Linked DNA regions of Caenorhabditis elegans. The protein of the gene in region 2 interacts with the protein of the main gene of each other region in a pairwise test. Each region holds a gene or a part of one and is shown on either strand. Other genes may lie near its edges.

Region 1 (3,754 bases), on a different chromosome or scaffold from region 2:
AGAGCTTGTGAATCGTCTCCAGCAGTACAAATGTGATGTGGACTGTGTGGGGCCCATGCAATTCCGTTCACTGGTCCAGTGTGATTACGGAGTCGACAGAGAATGTTGCATGGCATACGAATGTCAAGAATTTGAACTTCTTGACTGTTCTCGGCAAATAAAGCCATGAAATAAGGTTCTTGTTTGTTCCATGACAGTCTTTGAAGCTTCTCCTTGTTTGGATCTTCATAGACAATTGTCGAGTGGTTTAAATGTCGAAGATCAAACATTCGGGCACTTCCGTCAGCTCCTGGAAACTCGTAATGTTTATAAAAAGATGCAAATACTAGCTAGACAAGACTCACCAACAGTTGCAAAATGATCACGACCGCCATTGATTTTAGCAAATTCGATATCGTGAACAGGCTTGTCATGAGCAATCAGTTGTGTTTTGAGTGTGAATGGAGCTGTCGGCTTGGTCTGCCCAATTGCGCAACCAACCTGAATATTTGTAAACATTTCACTAAATCTTATCAAAATTATAACTCACCTCAACATCATAAATTGTGCAAGTCGTATCTACACTGGAAACTCCAATATACCTCGGCTCCAGCTCGTTCCAGTCGAAACTTGTCAAAGCTGATCCATATTGTGAGTTCTGAAAATTCCATTGAACACTAAAAATTTACAGGTTTAACGTACAGTATTATTGATCATAACTGCGTCTGGATGAACTTTTCCATCAACTACTCGCCAGAGGCGAAGGCAATCTGATGTTGTGGCAATGAGATCAGGGTAAACGTTGTCTGGATCCGGAATAAAACCGACTGCATTGGCTGGGAACTCCATTGGAAAGCTCGCCGTCTCGACAAGCTCGCCAGTTTCGTCTTTTAGTTGTACAATTGATACCTGAAAACGTTTTAATTGGAACTGTTATGTTTCAAAATACATATAAATTTCGTTTTTTTTTTTTTTAACTTTTACATTGGAGTACAGTCTATAGGGTTTTCAATTCAAAATATTCGAAATGTTTTAATATACATACTGAAATACCGCAAAAGGAAAGACAAAAATTATGTTTAAAACCTGAACAGTTCAATTTCGATTTGTTCCGATTTCCAGTTTTTCTAAATTGTGTCTTTGAACTATAGTAAAACTCGACTCAAAAATATAACTCAACTCAAAAATAAGAACGATCGCTGTTTAATCTTGCAGTTCTTATTTTGTAGACAACTTAAACAGTAGATTAGAATTTGCAAAAACCCGTTTTTTAGAATTGCGTTTTTTGTGGTATTTCAGTAAATGGGACCTTATTGACTATGGCCAACATTACCACTCACACGTTTTCAAATTTTTCAAAAACTCACCTTGTTTGCGGCACATGGGTTAACGGACACGTCGGATACTGTTCCCACAGCAAGTCGAAATTTGATATCATTTTTGTTGCTCCATGCCGATGCATACAACTGTTGATCAGACGTGAATTTATAGATCTCACAACGTCGATCACGTCCTCCGATCACAATTTCGTTCTGTCTTCCGATCCCTTGCGGAGCTAATGGTCCTGGTGGAGCTGGTTGTTGTGCGACTTGTTGCATAACATGAGCTTCTCCGTTCACTGCGTGACCATTGGTAGCCATTGCAGGTGATAAGGGTTCACAAGTTTCTGCAAGATAAAACACTGCGTGAGGGGATTATTAGAATAATTGGAAACTAGTAAGCGAACGAGGGAAAGAGCGAAAAAAAAGTGAGAGTAGTAGTTTTCAAATCGAATTCGACAAAACAGAAAGGTTCCAGGGAAAAGACGATCACAGAGAATACGGTAAATCAATAGACGCAGGGAACACGAGAACGAGAAAAATAAAATTGAAAAGTAGAAGGACACAGGAAGAAAATGAGGGAAAAAGAGAGAAAGAGAGGGAAGAACGCACTTTGTTACACTAAATCGAAAACGAATGGAATGGAGGTGGTGGTGGAATGTTGAAGATGAAAAGAAGGCAGTAGAGAGCAGGAGAGCAGCTCAAATGAGACAGGTGAAGTTGAAAAGGGATTCGATTATTTCAACAAGGCAGGGGGGGGGGGGGGTAGATCAAGTTGTTTCTAGGTCATTTTGATGTGATATGACATTATAAATCAGAAAAGAAATGCTAATCAGGTAGTTGTAAAGCTTGAACGATTGCCATGTTTTTTAAAGCACACTACCAAAAACATAAAAGTAAACGACAAACAGATTCAATTAAGTATAAGAAAATTGAGTCCAAAACACCGAGATATGGGCAATTCCTATATTGGGATTTCAGTCTATTCCAGATTAATGCCGACACTTTTAATTTAAATTTGGACAGCCTAATCATAGAGATCGAAAATTTAATTTAAGCGAAAAAATAGAAAGAAACAATTTTAGAGGAGTAAAATTGATCACATACTATAGTTTTGTTTATTGCATTCTGAATTTTTGACAAACATTGGATATTCAAAACTGACTTGATTTGAACTTTTTTGGAGGTAACGCTGATTGGAAAATGAGCTGAAAAAATGTAGCAAGTTTTGGACAAAAATTGTAATTTTCGAAGTTGTCAAGAGGACCAAAATTCAACTTTTGCATAAAAAAAAAGAAGAAAAACTGGAAGTTAGTTCTGAGAAAATTTTTGTTCGGACAATTTTTTTTCCAATTTAACATTATAAAAATGGAATTATTTTGCAAACTTTTCCAAATTTCGAACATTTTCCGAATCTATTTCCAATTTGGAAAAAAACAATGAAAGTTCGAACAAGAACAGAAGAAAATTATCCAAAAGATCACATTGAAAAGTTTGCAAAAAATAGTTAGTGGTCAACTGGGAATACCCGCATTAGTTCACTAATGAGCAACAATGGAATTAGGGAATTAGGAGGAATGTAAAGAGACAGAAACAGTGCGTTGCAGATTGTAACCAATCGATAGTATGCAAATAGTGTAAACTGTGCAGTGTTCGTCTATTCACCGAAGGGGGCCACCGACTAGCTGCACTGGACGAGGTAGTAGGTAGAAATAGGAGAGTTACACAGAGAGTTAGAGACCATTGCGTGAGTGCGTGTGTGAGTGAGTGAGAGAGTGAGTGAGCGAAGCAAAATGAAAAAAGAAGAAACGAAAAGATTCTCTGCGTTACGTGCCGTCTGTCCATCTCGTTTTGCAGAAATGGAGACGCAGAGGTCGGCTAGACGGACATGCAATGCGGCTAGCGGATACGTTGACCCCGAATACTCGGTTGCAGGTGGAAGAGAAAAAATGAAATTACAAGGAGCACATGACGCCAGAAACGGTGCATTATGATGCAAGTTTTCCGGATCTGGATGATCGTAGAATACGTTCCAGTTGACTTTAAAAACACTGAAGCTCCGTGAGAGTTATGTAAAACTGCCCTACAATCTACCTTGATAATTTAGAAGTATTAACTGTAAAGACTGGAACAAGCCATTCAAAAAGAAATCTGATCTGACTGAGCCTGAAATTGTTTAGAAAATCCTGCACATTTTGAATATTTGTTCAGGAGCACCTACGAATCAACGGTTTTATTAGAATTTCAGTAATTTTTAATAACAGTTTTAAAAGCAACTCGTTACTAACAAAACAAGGTTCTTATGTTGTTAGTTTTAAAACTTGTCTCTTTCATTATGTTCATTTTGATAATTCAATTGTATCATGGGCAGCATTAAACTGGCGCAACTCAAGAACTTTTTTGAAAAGCTTCACCGAAAAAAATTTCCGTTAGAATTTTTCAAAATTTCAGCTAAA
Region 2 (3,754 bases):
ATTTAATCCGAAAAAAACCTCTCAAAAATTCTCAATTTTCAGGCACAAATAGCGCAGAAATGGCATCAATCCGTACGACGAGCGACGAGCTTCGTGAAGGACAGCAAAAGCTGAAAAGAATGCTCGAAGAGCTCGAAACTCAACGGAGCAGCCTTCAGACCGCCTGTGAAATCTATACGGCAAAGAAAGCAGAGCTCGCGAAAGCTCTTTCAGACGCTGGAGGCACTGATGCTCCACCAATTGATGAGGCAATTGATGCCGCTTTTCCGTTGCACCGACAAATTGTGCTCAATTATGCGAAAGATTTGACATGTGATGACGTCATTTATTCACTTGGTATGGAACGAAAAGTTGGGAAAAATTGGAAAAATCTAGCTGGAATTGCTCAATCCTGAGGAAAATGTGCAAAAATTGTTTTCAAAAAATGCAGAAGTTGAAAATTAAGAAAAACTAGTGAAAATGTTTCAAAAAAATTAAATTAAAGTTGAGATTTTTCGAAGTTTCTGAGAGATTTGAAGCCAAATTAAAAGCGTTTTTCTGAAATTTTTCAACGATTTCGTCTATTAGCACTACTACAAATCATTCAAAAACCCCCGAAAAAAAACAGAAATTAGTTAAAATTGACTTTAAATTCTAGAAAATTCACAAAAACTACAAAAAATTGGAAGTTTCTGAACAATTTTCAGCCATTTTTACTCCAAAATTTTGTTGAAATCGTTCAAAAATCAGTTTCGGTTTTATTTTAGCAAAAGTGTTTTTTTTTTGCGGAAATTTGATAGAAAAATTATTGAAAATGACTGAAAATTGGAATTTCAGCAAATTTTCGGTGTAAAAATTTTTCCGAAATCCAGCAAAAAAAAAAACGAAAAAAAATTATGGTATTTATGAGAAATTTTTTTTTTGCCTAATCTTCAAAATTTCAGGTCAATCACTGAAAAAACGCCAAATAACACTTGCCGAATACCTCCGCCATGTTCGTGACGTGTCCCGAGAGCAATTTATCTACCGAGCAACAATGCAGAAATGTCGACGAACTGCTGGTCTTCCTATTTAAAATTTAAATAAAATTTGGATTGAAAATCGTGGAAATTTTTGAGAAAAAATTGCTAATTTTTTGACCAAAACTGGAAAATCGTGAAAAATTGTCCATAAAAATGCTAAAAATTCGATAAAATTCTCGATTTTTGGATGAAAAATACTTTTTTCAATAAAAAGTGGGAATTTCAGCGATTTTCTGACGAAAAACTTAAAATTATTGCTGAGAAATCGAGAAAAATGCATTTTTTTAAAACGATTTTAGCTAAAAATTCCATATTTCATTTATTTTCCTGATGAAAAATTGTTTAACATCAAAATTTCGGTGCTTTTCCGTGATTTTTCAAGTTTTTTACATGTTTTTCCGTTAAAAATTCACTTAAATCTTCTAATTTCAGCCGAAAATTGTAAATTTCAATAATTCCCGTTAAAAATGATGGAGCTTCTATTGAAAATTACCTCGAAAAAAGCTTTCTTTTTTTGACGATTTTCCAGCCGAAACATGTAAATTACGACGAATTTCAGTGACTTTTTTGTCAAAAAAATTACGGTTTTCACTCATTTTTCCATCTTCTCATTTCAAAATTTCTCCCATTGCCGCCATTTTTCTCTAATACTCCCTTTCTCTCCGTCTTGATGCCCGTTGTGATTTGGTTTGTTCTCTCTCTCTCTCTCTTTTTTTCCGTTTTATAGACACAATTTTCTAGATTTTTCCCCATTTAAAATATCCAATTTTGCACCCATTTCCCCATTTTTCCCGGGGGAAAAGCTCGCTTTTCTCTCGAAATTCGATGACTTTTTCAGGTTTTTTGTTCATTTATTTTTTGTACAAAAATTTTAATTTAAATGTGATTTTTCCCCCCATTTTTTTCTGATTTTTTCGCTCAAAATACCGTGATTTTTGGCGGTTTTTCAATATTTTTGATAGATTTTTTTTGTTGCTATTTTTAAGCCAATTTTTCCAGCTTTTTGTGCTTGTGCTCGCGGAGCTCCCCACAAATGCAAGCGATCAAATGTGTCGTCGTTGGTGACGGAGCCGTCGGTAAAACGTGTCTCCTGATATCCTACACCACAAACGCATTTCCCGGAGAATATATTCCGACGGTGAGTCATTTTTAAAGCAAAAATTGAGATAAAATTACGTTTTTTGGCTCAGAAAATAGGACATTTTGACACAAAATCGAAAAAAAAAAACAAAGAAATTTAGGCAAAAAATATTCAAAATTGTTGTATTTTGATCCAAAAATCATTGAAATAAATATTTTTTTAGGCCAAAAACTGGGAAAAATAGTGAAATTATCAATACTGAAAATCGTGAACATTTTGATTTATAAAACATTTAAATAAAAAATAATTTAAATTAAATTTTTTTTGCTAAAAATCGTTTTAAAAAGTACATTTTTTTAATCAAAAAAATAAGTGAAATTTCACTGAAAAGTATGAAAATTAAAACTTCCGTTTTTTACGGAAAATCTAGACAAAAAACTTTTCAAAATGCGATAAAAAAGTTTTCTGCAAAAATCGTTTTAAGAAACACATTTTTAGCGAAATTTTGCTGAAAAATATGAAAATTGTCAACTTGTTCCCATAAAAATCAATAAATTAATATTTTTTATACCAAAAGCTGGGAAAATGGTGAAATTTCATATAAAAATTGGTATTTTTATTTGAAAAAAAAATGTCGAAAATTTCAAAAAACTTCAGTTTTTTTAAACGGAAAATCTAGAAAATTTTGATTCAAAAAACTTTTAAAAATGCAATAAAATTGTAGGCTTTTTGCAACAAAAAAATTGAAAATTTTGAAAAGCGCACAATTTCCCGCAAAAAATATGAAAGGTGTCTTCTTTTTCCCAAAAAAATGCTTTTTTCCCATAAATTCAAATTTTTTCCAGGTATTCGACAACTACTCAGCAAATGTGATGGTCGACGGTCGGCCGATAAATCTCGGGCTCTGGGATACAGCTGGACAGGAAGATTACGATCGGTACGGGCAGCGGGAAAACTGAAAATGCTCGAAAAAACTCAGGATTATGGGTTTTTTCAATAAAAAATTGCTCAGGATTATGTGATATTTTCCTCAATCAAAATGTGGAAAATATCACATTTTAGAAAATTTCATCCAATTTTTCATAAAATGACAGTGATTTTGAAGCTATTTTGTGGTGAAAAACTCGAAAAACATGGAATTTTTCGCACTTTGCACTAAAAATTACCCCAATTATCAATTTTTCAACACCAAAAAAATTTGCAGACTCCGACCACTGTCATATCCACAAACAGACGTGTTTCTCGTATGCTTTGCCCTGAACAATCCGGCGAGTTTTGAGAATGTTCGTGCGAAATGGTATCCAGAAGTGTCACATCATTGCCCGAATACGCCGATTATTTTGGTTGGAACGAAAGCTGATCTGCGTGAGGATCGAGATACTGTTGAACGGTAGATTTTTGGAGAATTTGAGAGAAAAATTGAGGAATAAAGTGAAAAATTTGTAGAAAATGATGAAAAATTGCCAAAAAATTCGAAAAAGCGCATAAAAATTCAGAAAATCACTTAAAAATTGAAGGAATACCGCCAAAACATTAGAAAAATCATTAGAAACGGCAAAAAAATGAGAAATAAGGAAAAAACGCATCAATTTCAGGAAAAAAAATTGCAAAAATTGTATGAAAAGTTGCGTAAAATAGCACAACATTCACATAAAATTTTGGAAAAAAATTT

What was found.
Region 1: the proteins of ced-10 (region 2) and swan-1 interact in a two-hybrid assay, tested with the Caenorhabditis elegans proteins (one study listed by BioGRID).

The regions. Positions count from the first base shown.
Region 1 is NC_003283.11:13,805,593-13,809,346, forward strand, and holds the start of swan-1 (WD_REPEATS_REGION domain-containing protein), read right to left. Parts: upstream 1,646-3,754; 5' UTR 1,620-1,645; coding exon 1,347-1,619; intron 889-1,346; coding exon 682-888; intron 638-681; coding exon 530-637; intron 481-529; coding exon 345-480; intron 290-344; coding exon 1-289.
Region 2 is NC_003282.8:3,507,774-3,511,527, reverse strand, and holds the start of ced-10 (Ras-related protein ced-10), read left to right. Parts: upstream 1-2,000; 5' UTR 2,001-2,034; coding exon 2,035-2,139; intron 2,140-2,419; exon of another isoform or gene 2,420-2,569; intron 2,570-2,927; coding exon 2,928-3,019; intron 3,020-3,286; coding exon 3,287-3,472; intron 3,473-3,754. Other genes in the region: tsg-101 (Tumor susceptibility gene 101 protein), read left to right, coding at 43-336, 924-1,054. UniProt on the Caenorhabditis elegans protein: Required in engulfing to control the phagocytosis of apoptotic cell corpses. Required in embryonic development for the correct positioning and orientation of the mitotic spindles and division planes in blastomere cells.